2 linked regions of the Nothobranchius furzeri genome follow. The protein of the gene in region 2 interacts with the protein of the main gene of each other region in a pairwise test. Links are inferred from orthologs where the notes say so. Each region holds a gene or a part of one and is shown on either strand. Other genes may lie near its edges.

Region 1 (8,615 bases), on a different chromosome or scaffold from region 2:
TCCAATCAGCTGATGGATCCAGAACACCTGCAAAGGGCTCCTGAGCCTTTAGATGGTCTCTCAGTCTAAGCTGGATTACTGACATAAATGAACTTTTGCACCAGATTCTCATTTTTCAGGGTTCACCTGTTGGTATGTTGGCTGTGCCTGTGACTCTAACCCCGACCCAAAACCACAGCACCGGAGCTATGACTCATCATCTCTGAACATTCAATTTGCCGTATTTAGGAACTACTGTTGAATATAGAGTCTTGTCTTTTTTTATTTTTGCGTTCTTGGTCACTTTGGTACTCCTTTGCACAAATGTCCCCACTGCAGCATCAATAAAGTCTTATCTTATGGCCCCCTCTTGGCATTATCATTCATATTTGTTCATGAATGACTTAATTTCAACTCTGTGAACAAAGTTGCTGAGACTGCTGGGTGTCAGCCACCACTGGTAACTCGTTCTGTGCTGGGACTGACCCAGCGACGTTTGCTGCTTGGGAAAAAAGGGGCTTTCATTCATTCATGTTTAAATTAAATCATACGCAAGCAACGGAAGTAGGGACAGATTAGACCCATGTTCTCTCCCCACAGGCTCTCTATTTAACTCTATGCAACAATCAGCCAATTACTTTAGAGGAAAAAGTATTTTGCAACTGTTCAAAAAAATGCATGTACTAAAATAGAGGATTTTTTTATTGTCTTTAGTTTTGCTCACTTGTTTGTTTTTGACAAATATATCTGTTTTCTAACAAGGTGTGCTCAGTATGCTAACGCTACAGAATCTAACAGGAAGCATCTGGCTCCAGGTCCACTTGGCCCATCCCTTTAGCCAGATGGTTTCAAAACAGCAACAAGGACTAGTTGAAAATCTAGAACCCTGGGTCTGCCTGGAGCATCACATCTCTTTGATTCTGTTCTAGGTCTGCTACTGTGTTTGGATCATGGCTCTGTTTCATGACCCGGTTTGGTCCAAGCTCCAGCTGTCAGATGGTCTCACGTAAGACTCTGGGACACTTAGCCAGAGGAGTTCATGGTGCCCCATAGCTGCAGAACCAAGCCAAACTATCAGCGTCCACCCCCTTGTTGACAGTCAGAATAACCAAGGCATTGTGGGTAAAAATCTACCACAATGTTCCAGAAGGCCAGTGGGTGGCTAAGATCAAACCAACCTAAGCTGAGCTGTGACCTTTAATCTTTAAATTAGCTCTTGTTTTTATGAAGATTTTGGTCATTTCTCTAAGCTTTGACCTCTGACCTTGGAGAAAACCTGGATCATCAGCTGGGTGGAATGTTTTCTACTAATGAATAATCTTTCCCCCTGTAGAATAAAGGACTACAGATTGATTGGAATTGACCTTTGACCTATTCCCACACTAATGTGCAGCAACATTTGCTGGTAAATAGTTTTTATATAATAATAATAATAATAATAATAATAATAATAATAATAGATGTGTACTGTGCTGTTAGCTAATATAAAGACTAGCAATTAGCTTTTTCAGTTCACTGGTCGTCAATAAAAAAAATCAGACAGAAGAAGAATTCAGCTTTTTTGTTGGCATCATGGTTGAGCCTAAAGGTAAGAGAGTAATGACTTTGGGGATGAAGCAAAGATCCAAAACCAAAGTGATCATCGGCACGACCTACACTAGCTTGAGGGAGCTAAATGAGGCTACGAAGTCAGACTGATGGTGACCTAGCTTTGTTGTTACTGGACTTGTACGTAATAACTGTTTTTGTTTAACAGTGTGGATCTTTTTACTTCGTGGCTTATTTAGTATCAGCTGGCTCATGTTAGCAATAGCCCATTGTTAGTGCTAGCTACAGTGGACTGCGGCAGAGTTGTTTACAACAGTTGCATTTCTGCTTTCAACCAGTAGGAGGGAGAAGTAGGAAATTTATTGAGTGTTGCTTTTGCACACGTTTTAACCCACGCCCCTTTAAAGATTCTCACCTGTGCATTTGTCGCCTGTATCTAAATAAGACGTACCTGTGGAACCACATCCTGTAGAAACGTGACAACACTTTCCATGTATGACTGCTCCCTATGGAAACAGGACATCCATGTCAAAAGGAAACCCACAAAGTATCACAATAAAGTTAAAGGGATCAACGTTTAGTACGAAGCAGTTCTTATCTTCTGTCATCAGGGACAAAGGGCTGATAGCTCATCTGTAGCTCACATGCAGTTATGGAATCATCAATCTGACTTTCTAAGAACATGCACAGCAGGTTCACGCTCTTACGTTGCAGCTTGTGCTCGCACCAGAACTCCTCCAGCACAGCGGCTCGGTCTGCGAGGAGAGTCCGACGCCATTTTTCTCCGACTGGTTTGTCACCTGAAGAGATACCATGAGGTTAGCAGGGTCAGTAAAAGTCAGATTTCTGGGATTTGGTCTAACCTGTCTCAGAAACAAAAGAACACTGTCCCATGAAACAATCTCTTCTCTGAGCAGAAGCTTTAACTTTGTTTTTAAACTCACTTCAGTCACAATAAAAAGAAACTCTTGCATAAAGTCTGGGTGTATACAGATAATGATGTTTAGCTTTGCTCTGACAAAAATTTAATTCACATTATAAAACCTTTATCCTGTTATCTAAAAAGAAATGTGTCTACAACAGGAGAGATGTCAGTAGAGATCCTGAAAAGCATGCTAAAGTGTCAGGTCCCAGTGACACAGTCTGATGTTCAGAGTAGAGGTCTGTTAAAGGGAGACATAAGGATAGTAACAATAATAACGATATTAGTAATAATAATAATAATAATGCTGCCCTAAACATGCACGTTTTTATTCTGGATTTAAAAAGTGGGAGAGAGTCAAGGTTACGGATGTCAGGCGGCAATGAGTTCCAGAGTTTAGGGGCAGAACAGGCAAAGGCTCTACCTCCCAGAGTGACGAGGCGGGAAGAGGGAACAACGAGGAAGATTGGAGGGAACGAGAGGAGGCAGCAATGTTGACAATGCCCCAAAAACATGGAGGCGCAACATTGTTGATGGTGGAAAAGAAGGAGTTTGAAAATGATCCTGAACTTAACAGGTAACCAGTGGAGACAGAAAACCATCTGCTGTCTGATCTGATGAAAGAAAAAACAAAACTAAAACTAAAGGTCAAAATATAAAATCAGGAAACTCACTCACATTTAGAGTCTCCAGTTAACCTGAAATGTTTTTGGTCTGAGTGTGGAAATCCCAGAGAGAAGCCACACTTGCATATGGAGAACAGGCTAGCTCCATGCAGAAAGGCCACAGCTGGGATTGAAACCAGCGACCTTCCCATTGTGCTAATGACTGTGCTAGTATGCAGCCTCAGATTGGATCCTCATGATATTATTATGCTATAATATATTGCAGTCAAGATTAATGTCTTTACTGATTATTTTCAGGATAATTTCCCGTTACGCTCTCAATAATCTTTGTAAATATAAGCTTTGTATTTCATGCTAAAAGAAAGGTTTATTATAAAACAAAATGCTCCTGAGAGACAGAGATCATTTGTGTCATTACTGTATGCTGAACTGATTCTATCCAAATACAAACAGCTGAATGGAGTTCCTCCATGACTCTGGTTCTGTCTGTATTAAACCTGTTTATTAGGAGGGGTTCGCTCTCTCTCTCAGAGACTCGCTTTAATCTCAGGGTATCTTCGTTTTACAGCCTTACAAATGACAGACTGCACAGAACGAGGAAGTCCTGGTCTCCGAGCCCCTCTTCTGAGAGGCTGGTATTTATATGTTTAAAGCAAAACACGCATTTGGGGAAGAACTTGCTGTCCTTCCTCTGGGTCCACCTCTCATGCTGGTGGAGGTCTGCATCCATAAATATGTCAGGTGCCTTACAATTTAAGTTACTAGAGAGGGTCGTTCTTCCTCCATTTCCAGGTTCCAAGCAGAGAATTCTTTTCAGTCCAAGACAACGAGAACATGGCACACATGTGATGTTGTGCGTGGCTTCACATCAGGCAGATCCTACATGATTATGATGTAGAAGACACGTGATCCTGGTGTCAAAATGTCACCATAACAGAAATTAGCTCACAGCTAGCTCGCTGTTGTGTGTATTTTATCCTCAGATGCTCGTTCTTCTATTGACAAGTTGAACACTTAATCAGGAGGACCAGATGACTGTAAGTCCACCACAGAAGGAGGACCTGCTCTACAGGGGGACGAAACTCGATGTAACACCAGAAACGTCCAGGCTTCCTCCAGAAGCAGCGCGTCATTAATTAAGCATTTAACCAGCCTTCAAAACTATGTAAACTCCTGGGGACACCAGGCTGGTTTTATCATAAAGTCTCAGCTCTAAGGAGGAGACCGTGTGGACGGAGGACACGAGTCTCCACCTAAGGTCCCTACACCACCACCAACAGGAGATAAGGCTATATGTCTACAACGATGACGTATAACAACAGACCGAACTCGCGCGCTATTACTGTTGTCTCGGCACGGAAGCCTCCGGTAAACAATGAGACACGTCTCTCAAAAGGTGCTAGCCAAAGCTAAACTTACAGCGGGACCCCGATGCTAACACCTAGCCACGCAGCTAGCTGGTAAATATAATCAGTAGTGTTGACCCGACATGGTTAAAGCCTAGAAAAGAACTGTGTTGGATCTCAATAGCACGTTCAAACAGGTGCTGAAACGAACCGAAGCACAGAAGAGTGGCAGGCAGCCTACTTGTTTCAGGACGCCAGCTGGTCTGCAGACCTGTCTCCCACAAAACAGTCACAACACAAACACAGGTTTTGCGGAACTGTGTTTTGTAATTACAAGCCAATCAGAGCCCAGAAACCAAAGGATCGATCCAATCAAGTTACAGCAAGGGCGGGATTCCGGATTACGTCACTGAAGGGTTTTACAAAAAAAATCTGAAATATATATTTTAGAAAAGTAAAACAAAGTAATATTTAATTTAATTTTCCATGAGACCAAATGAAATTAATTTGATTTGTTTAATTAATAAAATAAAATCTACATTTTATGTATTTGCTAAAATAAATGACTAGAGGTATTTTTTAGTCATTTTTATTTTTACAAGTTTATTTTGACAATTTTACAAATGAAGAGAAAAAAAACCTGCACACACATAAAAATGTAATAGAGAAATGAATAGTGAAAGTTTGTTAATGGCAAAAACACAACATAAAGACAGTTAAAGTAGAAATGGAATTGTAATGCATTTAAACATGCTTTATTACTTGGGATTTTAATAACGTGTGTACTTTTGGGGTTGAATGTTAAATTACAACAACCTTTCAGAGTTATAAGTCCCACATTTTACTGGTGTGGATCTGCTCACCCCATGAGGTTGTGATCAAGTCTCTGTTGGAAGTGAGTGCTGAAAAAAATGTTTCCAGATTCCTCCACCAGGGGTTCCCAGCAGACCGCTATTATACATTTGTGCCTACCAGGTCTACCGGACATCTTCCCCTGCTTTTGGCTTAAGCTCACCACCAAGTGGTGATCATGTGACTCCAATCCGTTTTCCAAAACATTTGGTTGCAGGTGTGATGATGCAGCTAATCAATCTTTGACCTGCGACCCTTCCCACCACATGTACTAATGGGCATCCTTGAGTTAGAACATAATGTTCTGACACTAGCAGAGATGTCCAAATATAAAGCACATCTCTGGTTCAGACCAGGTGGGCCACTCCATTCAGTCACACCCATCGAGGTCACACTTTAATTTCCCACCTGAGCAGCAGGACTCTGGATTTCCTAGTTAGAGTGCCATCTAGCAGATGTCCCAACTCCCAAGTCTATCATAAAGGACTGTGAGCTGCTGTCTGACGTCAGGAACGGACTGGGGAAATAATTTAGCCCAAGGATTTCTCCAGAACCAGAACCTTGAACCCAGAAACCATTCCCTATGGGCTGCTCCAAAAGCACAGGGAAGCTCCCTTTTAGTTCGTTGAGCTGCTTCTCAAAATACAGGATTATATTTTTGGTGCAATCAAGAAGCCCTCCTTGGCCCTCAGCCTCTCACCTGGAACAGAGGGGTGGCATTCCATGTCTCAAATGCAAGTTTTTGTTTCTGAGGATTTAATTGCTAAAATTCCACCATGGTCTAACACCCTATCCCTAAAACACTGTCTGTAATCTATCCATACAGTATAGTCCAGATCAAAAGTAGAAGACCACTTGAAAAATGGTCAAAAATATTATTTTGCGTGGTTGGATCTCAAAAATGTTTTTAGCAGAGCTTCAATGTGCAACAGGAAGAAATGGGAGTCACTGTCAATCAGCACATCGAACAGGTGGGGCTAGACGAGAAAAGAACCAATCAGAGCCGACCTTCTATTTGAACAAGCTGCCAGTAACCACAGACATCAAATTGATGTCTATGCAGGTAACAGTTGAACAATTTATGTCTAAAAGGAGAAAAAGTTCATGGCTGTAAGAAAAGCATTAAATATGAGAATCTGGAAAGTATCTGCTTGGTGAGTCCACATCTGGGTTTCCCCCTGGCTTAAAACAGTAGTGAGCACAGGGCCAGATTAACACTTTGTTGTACCCTGGGCAACAATATTAAAGGGCCCCATCATCACGACCCAAGGATCACCATAATATGGTCACATACAGAATATTTTACTGTAATATGCAGTAAATATACTCAATACTTGAATGCCTGACATCACGTAACCCGCTCAGGGTAACCTTTAACCCACCTTGTGTGGGCTGACCAATGAGGAGAGGGTCTTAACTTGAGGCCCTCTCTTCATTGGTCAGTCTGCATGAGACTGACTCTCAACTGACATTCAAAGTCATAGGCAGCGAAGCGTCTCTGTGCATTTCGAAAGCCCGGGTGGACAGTTTGTTTAATGTAGGGTGATCATATTTCCATTTCCAAACAAGAGGATAGGGGATCTGTGCCTATGACATCACACTATGGCAAACGCCACACAAACCACGTTGGGACCCATTTTTTGTAAGAGCTAAATTAATATCAGATTCTGCCAATAAAAGGGTTCTAAAACTATTCATATGTAAATATTTTGCATATTTATTGCAAAATCTCATTTTTCTGCTTTAATGCTGCAACAAGGTTTTATTAATAATAAATTTTTATACCTTTTGTTTTACTACAACATTGGTACGCTTCCAGTACACAGATTATTAAGGATGCTTGTTTCAGCTGTGAGATTAGACGATAGGATCAATGAAAAAATAAGTTGTCACACACTCCATGGAAACTTTCAGAGAATCCACAAATAGTGGCTTTCAAATGGTTTTGTTACTTTTTGCAAGTTTAGAAAAGCAGCAGATGAGACAGGAAGTCTGATAATTTAGTTTTTCATCTGATAATATTAGAACATGTCAGTAATGTCTGAGGGGCTTTTACAAACACTGTATAACTAACTCTCCTGGAGAGGGTATGGATTACACAGAGGCTTCTGGGGACCCCAGTTATGGGGGGGTGGGGGGTCATTTTGCCTTGGACCCCAAAATGTCTTGAAACGGCCCTGGCTGTGTGACAGAGTTTTGAAGACGATCTGAATTGTATCAGATATATAAATATTACATGTGTATAACTTATTGTTTTATAGAGGTAAAAACGTGTAGTGGAGATAAATCTACCCACATTTTACTTTTCAACACTTTGTTTTGTTTTCTTGTTTTTATTAGTTCCCTGTCCTGTCTGTCTCTCATCTTCCTGCATCTCCTCTAAAGTCTTCAGAAAATCTGCTGCCTGGATTCTTACTTTTTCACCTCATCAGTTATTTTTGAGCAGATCAAAGGGATCTCCTGACCGCAAAGCGGAGAGGCGTTTCGATGCATCAGTGAGGTGAAATCACCGCAGCACAGTTGATGAGCTCCACAGTCACAGAGCGCTTCAGGCACAAATAAGAGAAAATAGAGAACATGTGCGGACATTAACAATCGTGTGCTAATTATAGTTTTTTGGTTGCGCCACTTTGAGAATGGACCGTGCGCTGGACGCAGCTGCCTGGAGCGCTGAACACCAACGATCATCGCTATACGTGCTCTCTGCTCAAAGGAGTCCATAAATGATGTAATATAGGTAGAACACTTTTTTTCCGGCTCCCCTGGATGTGTAGGATATCCATCTCCCCCATAATTCGATCCCTGCTCCTGGATGAAAAACCGGACATTTTCATCAATACAAGAACCCCCAGTCCAGACGCCCCGGACAGAGAGTGAAAAGTGGACATGTCCGGGGAAAACCGGACGGTCACCCTAGTTTAATATAAAGCGGAAGATTACAGATACAGTATTTTGCTCGTGCCCTTGCTGCCCTGGGCCCTTAAGAGTACCTGGGCCCTGGGCAATTGCCCAGTTGCCCATGGTTAATCCGGCCTTGAGTGAGCAGGGGTGGGTCAGGACATGAGGAATAGATTGCTTCTGCAGCCAAATTGAAAGAGCGAAGTGGAGCAACAGGTTGTTTAATTGTTTTTGTGGCACTGCTAAGGCCGATATTATCATCGTTCGGTGTCCTAGCGGTGGTTTTGTGAGGAAAAAAGCCTTCAGGCAGCCCAGAAAAAGGTTCAGGCACCTCGCCTTGATAAACGATTGCAGGGAAATCTCTAATAAACACACCTAAAAATAATTCTTACCTTTAGTTTACCTCCTTGGGTTATTAGGGTAACACCTTTTAATGTTTTTGGT
Region 2 (8,361 bases):
ACGTCCACACAATCTGCATAGATGTTTCCCAGGAAACAAGCTAACGGCATGGCAGGAGCTCTGAAGGAGGTTTGAGACCAGAGCTTCTGATTAGTTATTCATATGTTTAAAGCCACAAAAACATTGGATTAGGATTAGGGTCTGATGCAGCAGCGCAGGAGCTGTGGGATTATCAGCATCACCTGGTTTCCTGCAGGTTGTTTCCAGTGTAGATGTGCATCCTTTTGACCATGGCTCCATGAGGAATCTGAGGAAACAGGAAAAAAAAATGAGTTAAAGGAAATAGCTTCTAGAACAGCCTCTGTTCAGAGAAATAGGAGTCTACAGCCTTCGGTGTTGACTAGCTAACCAGTTATTTCTGCAGAAATGTTCAGATTTCTTCTTTAACATAAAAGATGAGTTTGTAAAATAACATTAGATGTACTGCTGCACCGGATCTCCAGCGATATAATCCAGTTTGTTGGTTTACTCCTGTAGCACCAGCGGTTCCCATCCTGGGTCTAACGAAACGCCGTGTCCGAATTCATCCTTCAAAGGCCGATGATGTCACAGAGCTGCGACGATCGTCCTGTCCCGGCTATGGCGTGTCCCTTACGGCCCACCGTATCTCAAGATTCATTTCAGGTGGGACAGGAGAGGATTACAGTTTAAATGCAAGTAAAGTAAAGTGCCTGGGTGTGTCCACACATACCACGTAGAATTAATGTTGTACCATGTTCAGCGCCTTGGGCTTCCTGACAGGGTTGTGGAAGGCGCTTTATAAATAAAGCTTTGATTGATTGATTGATTAAGGCCAAAAAGTTCTACCTTGGTCTCATCAGACCAGAGAATCTTATTCTACAAACGTCTTCATTTGAGAACACCACAGTGATCTTTGGGTTCTTCTTTACCTCTCTCACCAAGGCTCTTCTCCCCCAGTAGCCCAGTTTGGCTGGACGGCCTGGAGGGTTCTGGTCGTCCCAAATGTCTCCCATTCGAGGATCACGAAGGCCACTGAGCAGCGGAGATGGTTTTGTAACATTGACCAGATCTGTGCCTTGCCACAATTCTGTCTCTGAGCCCTTCAGGCAGTTCCCCTGACCTCATGATTCTCATCAGCTCCGACATGCATGGTGAGCTGTAAGGTCTGTTATAGACAGGTGTGGCTTTCCTAACCCAGTCCAGTCACAGTCAAGCACAGCTGGACTCCAATGAAGGTGTAGGACCATCTCAATGATGATCAGAAGAAATGGAAAGCACCCAAGTTAAATATATGTGAGTAAATGTTATTTCTACACACTCATCACAGACATAGAATCAAAAAGTGCTTCACATAGATCAAAACTAAATAAAACAAAGTCATGAAATCATAATGAAATAGATTAACATCAGAAAAAAATAGTCATTAAATCATAAAATGTCATCAACAGACAAAAGATTACAAATTAGGAGTTAAAAATAAGAAAATTAACGGTTTAGGGCCGTTTGTCCAGAAGGTCAACGCTACGTTAGGATAAAGGAGATCGTTGGTCTGGAAGGAGCGACCACCTCAACTTTTATATCTTACATATATTTTATATACGAGCGTAACAGCAAAGGGCCAGAAAACTTGGGACCATGTAATATTTCAGTTTGTCTTTTCTAATAAGTCTGCAGAAGTTTCTAGAAGTCTGTGTTTTTCTGTCATGATGGGTGCTGTGTGTGCATTAACGAGGAAAACAGATTTGACTGATTTTAGCAAACAGCAGCAATGTAACAGAGAGACGGGGGTCTGAATACTTTCTGTATCCACGGTAACGTTTACTGGCATAAACATTAAAGAGCAAGTCACCCCCAAATAAACTTTTTTTTGCTGATAAACTAAATAAACGAGTGTCTAATCGTGCTGCAGACACGTGTCGTCAATAATTTGGCATTTCAGTGCATCTTAGTTAAAATTTAAATATTCTGCCTAAAACTGGCAGTGTTGTGCCGTTGTCAGGTAAAAACTCTGCACTGTATTTTAATTTAAATCTGCCACCGCTATTGGCTAACTGATACATTATGATGTCACAGTGCAGTCGTGAGCCTGTGTGTGTGTGTGTGTGTGTGTGTGTGTGTATTTGTTAGCAGCTCCGCCTTCTTGGTCTGCCAGGCAACAGCATTTGTTGCGTTTTTCAAACATGAAGTGGGAGTGGAGTTAGACTCTGGTAGGTGTTGACTTGCTCTTTAATGACGTCTGGTTGGCTCCAGACTCGGATTGGTTCTTTTCTCGTCTATTCCCGCCTTTTCCATTTTCTGATTGGATTTTTGATTCGGTCAGTTGTTGGTTAGGGTTAGGAAAGTGTCGCTTAATATTTATCATAATTTAGTCTTTATTATGTGTGTAAGTTTCTGTTTCTTAGGTGTGTTCTTGCTGTGTCGTGGTTCTAATACCATGCTTTCGTTCTTTTTAAAACACAGAAACAGTTTTGTTGACCTGTTTTGTAGCTACGTTTCGCCGGCAGCCGGCGAAACGTAGCTACAAAACAGGTCAACAAAACTGTTTCTGTGTTTTAAAAAGAACGAAAGCATGGAAGTTTCTGTTTCGTTCCAGTCAGCAAAAATTCATTCATTCATTCGTAACGAAAATATTTAGTCAACAAAATGAACACTGATGGTGTCCTGACCAATCACAGGCTTGCGGTCTCTGTTGCTTTCGACGGATATTTAGAAAGGCGGGCTCTACGCCGCCTGTCCTTGTGAGCCTGCTGAAGCCCTTGCAACGACGAATAATGGCGTAGCGCGCCTCCGCACCGATGCAGAAGTATAAACTAGCCTTAAGAGCTGAAGCTGCAGGCGTCTGCAACATCTAAGAACCTCAGTCTGCATGAAGGTCAATCACATAATTCACCAGGATGCGAGCGACGTTCCCTCAGGTGAGAGGAAACAACTGATTAGCTCCTCTCACCTCGTACTTCGGAGCTTCGTTCCACGAGTCCAGCTGAAAGGAGAAGGACAGTCCTCTGAAGTTGAGATGGAACAGCTGCTCTGCAGCATTGTAGACTGGGTGGAGAGGAGCAGAAGGAGGAGCTTCAGTCACAGTAAAGGCAACGCGCTGGCTAGTGAGGTTTCTGCGACGTACCTCCAGGGTGCGTAGCTCCAAATGACTGATCTATCTGCTCTATGGTAGGAGCGATGGCCTGGGAGTTGAAATGGACCCCACTAAAACACACACACACACACACACACACACAGCCTAATTTCAACAGTGTTACGGGCTGTTACAGAGAGCAACATGAGCTGGACTCCACAGGTAGAGGGACACCAACAACAAACGCATCACCGCAGCAGACTGAGTTAGTGTGATTGGCTGAGCAGCGGAAGGCCCGTCCGTCCGAAGGAAACGGACTCGGTTCAGCTCAGATACCAGATAAATCCTAATGGACGGGTTTCTACTCACCAGTATTTCAATTTGACTTTGCTCAGATCATACACTTCAACCACCTGCCAGGTAAAAACAAAAAAACAGTGCTTCTTCGTTAGGGTCAGAGGGTGAAGCTGGTGTTGTTATGGTAACGATCCACTGTCACCTTGAGTCTCTGGGTTGTGGCATCAAACAGCAGCTTAATCCCATCTTGGGTCAAGTTCAGTATGAGGTCATGACTGAGCGGCGTCTGGAGAGAGAATAAAAGATGTCTGTAATTAAAAAAGTCAGACAGGCAGAGCTCAGATCAGCCCGAGCCTGGATCACACTGTTCCAAGACAAGCTGACTGATGTTCTGACGTCTCTAACCAGACCCAAACCGGCTAACTAGGTTGTTGGAAAAGGAGAGTCTTGCTCTTTAGAGGAGAGGAGGTGCCAGGATCATGACTTCAAATGATCTCTGCTCTGTTCAGTGGTGTGCGTAAGTCTTCGTCCTCTTTAGAGTACCTCTCGGCAGCCAGACGGTCCCTTTAATGTGATGTTGGCTGGTTTTATACCCATTTTGATACAAATGAGCTCATTTAAACTGGCTTATAGACGACTATGGCTCCAAACAGACAACTTAACCAAATAGCAGCTGTTCATGCGACAAGTGGGCCGATCCAAAACGATGACTGTCCAAAGGAAGGAGGACAGAGTTCAGCGGATGAGACAGTAAATTACAAGCAAATGTGATGGTTGTCCAGATGTTCTCTAGAGCTGCTCATCAGCCTGGTCCAGAATGCTGGGCTCACACAACAAAATAAAGACTTGTACACACCACATAATCTAAACTGACTCGCGTCACACAGAGCAGTGCGAGTCCCTGCTGCAGCACTATCACGTCACACATTCACACACACACACACCTTTGATGTTTCACCTACAACCAGACCTCGACCTGCGGACTAACATTTGTGAGACGAGTGGGAGCGGGTGTTTACCTGTTCGCTGTAAAGCACCTGAACATTTTTGATGATACGGCAGTGTTTCTGGAGGATACAGATGGCCTGGGAAAATGGCATCCCTGCACACAGAAACCAAGTCACACAGATTCATCGTCTTTCATTTAAAGATGATGAGTGTGTGCCGCTCACCTAAGGCGAATTCCCATTGCTCATTTCCTAGTGATCTCTCAGGGACCACCTCCAGATCCAGCATTGGTCAGTAGTGGGGGGGGCGGCTCACCACACCTCAAGACTCAAAGGGACCCTCTACCTGCTGCCTCTCCCTGATCACAGCACCTCAGGGGGCTATTTCAGGTCACATCTATCCACGTCAGATTTATTTGACAGCCGGTTTACCTGTAAGTCACACCTATTTATCTCAGGTCATAAAACTGCACCAGAACAGAGGTATGAAAGGCCTAAAAGCATCCAGTTCCTACCCGGACAGGTTAAATCTGAAGACACTCCGCATGGAGGGGGGGCTTCAACAGCTGTCAGTAAACACACAGCCAGCGGTTCATCGATCAAATGTTTGTTTGCTTTGAAAACCGATAAAACAAGCTGAACAGGCGCAGATGAGCGTATAAGAAACAGCTGTTCACTTCGTACCACCGCACGTGAACCCCACCTCAGCTCTAGACAAACACCGAGCTTCCTTCTCCGAGTCTCCGTTATGTTTCCTCTCGAGCCGCGCGGTGAGCTCCACACAAACAAGCTAATGCTAGCGAGCGCTTAGCCGCACGGCTAGCTGTGCAGAATAAAGATAAACAACAAACAAGCCGACATAAAAACGAATTTAACACGGGAAGAGTTGATGTTACACTTCACAACGTCACGACTCAAACAAAGAGCCTCCGTCGGCTTCCGTTGCTGCTTTTCTTCAGCTCCGAGCAGAAGCGACAGCTAGCTCCTGCACCCCTGAGAAACACGCAGCACGTCCCGGCCCGGTACACGCGTCCGTGCCCCGACCGTTAACGGCTCTCCGGTGTCGAGCGGCGATAAGAGCGACGCGGCAGTCGAACAAACACGACGGCAACTTCAAGATATCAACAACAGCCAGCAAGATCAGCTGATAGTTCAACTTCCTGCGCTCCGAGCACGTACAGCGCTACGTGGTCACGTCACAACATACGTCATATCATTTTTTAAAAATATTTATATGTCGATGTTAAAACCACGGTCAATGCAGTTATTACTAAACAACCAACCAACTAACTAACTAACTAACTAACTAACTAGAAAGAAAGAAAGAAAGAAAGTTGCCCGCTATGCCCTATGGTCAGTCCAGCAGTGCTTGGGGGGATGCACAGGAATCCAGTGTTGGTAAATGCTGTCTTTGAGAAGCGAGTCACATATTAGACCACCACGACAAGTATGATGAGGGCACCGTGCTTTCTGCAGATGGATTTAACGCACGGCTGGAGGATTTTGAGTTTACTTTTTTTTCTCAACACATTCAACGGGCTTTTTGAGTATGCTGCTGTGCTTTTTGGAATACTGCAGACCAAATCATTGGATGTACAATTCTGCATGGCTAGGCTGAATGAGTTTTGTGACAATGTTGAACAAGAGAGGGGCAATTTCAGTGAAATATATGAAGAAGCAATGAGCGCCTCCGGTGGTCCAAGTGTGCGCAGTAGGGCCCGACCGATATATCGGCCGGCCGATATATCGGTCGGCCGATATCGGGGTCATTAACAGTATTGGCTATCGGCCAAAAAGACGGCCGATATGGCTGATATTGCGCTACCTATCCAGCAGACGGCGCCAGCTGTATGAACTCTGCCACCGCTTAGGTGTAACATTTATTTACTAGAACAAGGGTGGTAACTTTACACACCTCAGACATGTGCACCTGCAGGGAAATGTTGTGGAACAGTTGGAGATACGAGACGATGCAGTTTCATCAGCACAATTCCAGAGCAGCAACACTTTTGGAGTGTCAGAAAAGGAAGACCGATTCGATTGTTGCTCTTTGTTCCCTCTGTCTGAAAAGGTTGATGCTTGTTGGTCAAATCTGTGCTCGGTACAGTGGTCCTTAGTCACGTGAGTTACGTTCTAATCCGCAAAATCCACAAAGTGGTCAACTTTCTTTTTCACGTGTTTAGCGTCTGCAGCTCCCTTTCGGATCACACACGAACACGAACACACCACACTCATTTCTAGTGATGGAAAGAGCCAGTTCTTTTGGCTCAGCTCACCAAAAAGAGTCGGCTCTTTCGGCTCCCAAGTGGCTCCTCAGATTTTCTGTTGCGTAGATTACATATATAACCAAAATAATGCAAAACTATATGTAAAATGATTTACTAATGTAAAAAAAATGCAATATATCAAATATTTATCATTTCTATGGATTTAAAAACTGAACACTTTCAGAAATCTCCACTTTCCGACTGCTGGCGCTCATTTTTTCACCGTCTTCGTCGTACTCTCTCGCTCGCCTTTTTCCTCCTCATTCCCTCTCCTCCCACATGTGCTCTGCTGTGTGTCTGAGTGATCCTCCCTCTTCCTCGCCCCTACTGCTCTGTGTATGGACAGTCTGGACACGCAGTTACACATGTTGACCAATCGCCTGTGGCTTTCACTAAAACAACAGGGGACGGCTCCCAATGACGAGCCGGTGTTCTGAGAAAACGTCCTACCCATAGGATAATTTTACGGTGTTTTAGATGACACAAACCCTAACCCTAACCCTTACCCAAAAAATCAAGTATCAACGTCAATAAAAAGTACTAATACTTACAACTTACCTATTTTCCTGCAAATATGACAACAGAGTAGCATTCCCTTTTTGTGTTGTACGCATGCACGCACATGCTCAGGAACAACGGGTAGGATGGTTTACCGGGTAGGAGAAATTCCCAGAACACCGGCTCCCGTCGTTCACTTCAAAGAGCCGGCTCGTTCGCGACCGACACTTAAAACATTTTTTCATACCTTTTAAAAATGTTCTAACATAATAAATAAATTGTGGAGATTAAAAAAATTCAATAAAGTGGTTTTTTGGCGTTTATCTAAAATCCTTTGCCAATAACACGTTTCAGACCTAAAGCAATTATTGGATCATCCGGATGTCGGACTAGCCAAACCACTGCACTTCCCAGGGACCTGCATTCAAAACACACTCACGTATTTATCAACAGAACGCCACTGGTGTGATTTTCTCAGCTCAATAATATCAGAGAAGGAGAAACAGTCGGCTGCTACCACTTCTACGTTAGGACTAACTACTAGAGTCCCTATAAAAGTGTGCCATGGCCGTGTTTGTGTTCAAAGCTTGTTTGTAGATTTGCTGTAACAGCTTTAAAAGAGAAATACAATTTCTAAAATCAAAACAACAAAAAAATGGCACAATTTTTAAAGGTTTATTAAAGCGATGCTAAAGAGTTAACACTTTTAGCTATAGCTTTAAAACTGGTTTCAGTGATTTTTCACAAAATCTTTAGCAGCTTCACATTGGACAGCACTCTGTTTCCCTCTGCTGACCAGAAACTACGGTTTTCTATGTAAAATTTGAATACATTGTATGTATTTATGTAAAATACATAAATAAGCCGTTGAAAGTGAAAGCTGACCTGTTCTCTATCGCCACCATCAGGCCAAACTCAAATCATCAGACCAAAGTAAAAATAAAAGTATCTTGAAAAGTTTTCATACAAATCTTCTCATATTTTCTAACATTAATGATCACAAGATTATGAACCTTAATGGGTTTTGGTGATGATATGACCTTTCCTGCAGCGCCACCGTCAGGTCAAACTTTCAGTTTTAGAGTTAGTGTATCTTACAAATCTTTCATCAAAATCTTCACTAATTTAGGGTGCACATTCATGATTCTCACAGAATGAACCATAATGATTTATTTTGGCGACCCTGATAGTGGTGACCCCCCTTTTCCCTCTTGTAAACGTATTTATTTATTTTCATCTGTTTTTTGTCACATAGTTAGAAAGTCAAACTCTCCCCTCCTCTTTTTTATCCGGGCTTGGGACCAGCAGTGGCAGAGTTAGA

The links.
Region 1: the proteins of phaf1 (region 2) and bcas3 interact in binary tests that used the Homo sapiens proteins (3 or more experiments, as listed by UniProt). The link is inferred for Nothobranchius furzeri from reciprocal best matches to the Homo sapiens genes PHAF1 and BCAS3.

What each region holds. Positions count from the first base shown.
Region 1 is NC_091753.1:23,578,190-23,586,804, forward strand, and holds the start of bcas3 (BCAS3 microtubule associated cell migration factor), read right to left. Parts: upstream 4,772-8,615; 5' UTR 4,663-4,771; exon of another isoform or gene 4,633-4,662; intron 2,328-4,632; 5' UTR 2,306-2,327; coding exon 2,235-2,305; intron 2,034-2,234; coding exon 1,979-2,033; intron 1-1,978. UniProt on the Homo sapiens protein: Plays a role in angiogenesis. Participates in the regulation of cell polarity and directional endothelial cell migration by mediating both the activation and recruitment of CDC42 and the reorganization of the actin cytoskeleton at the cell leading edge.
Region 2 is NC_091744.1:80,993,031-81,001,391, reverse strand, and holds the start of phaf1 (phagosome assembly factor 1), read right to left. Parts: upstream 5,003-8,361; 5' UTR 4,791-5,002; intron 4,708-4,790; 5' UTR 4,565-4,707; coding exon 4,501-4,564; intron 4,431-4,500; coding exon 4,348-4,430; intron 3,615-4,347; coding exon 3,531-3,614; intron 3,445-3,530; coding exon 3,401-3,444; intron 3,163-3,400; coding exon 3,083-3,162; intron 3,004-3,082; coding exon 2,909-3,003; intron 248-2,908; coding exon 183-247; intron 61-182; coding exon 1-60. UniProt on the Homo sapiens protein: Plays a regulatory role in autophagic activity. In complex with BCAS3, associates with the autophagosome formation site during both non-selective and selective autophagy.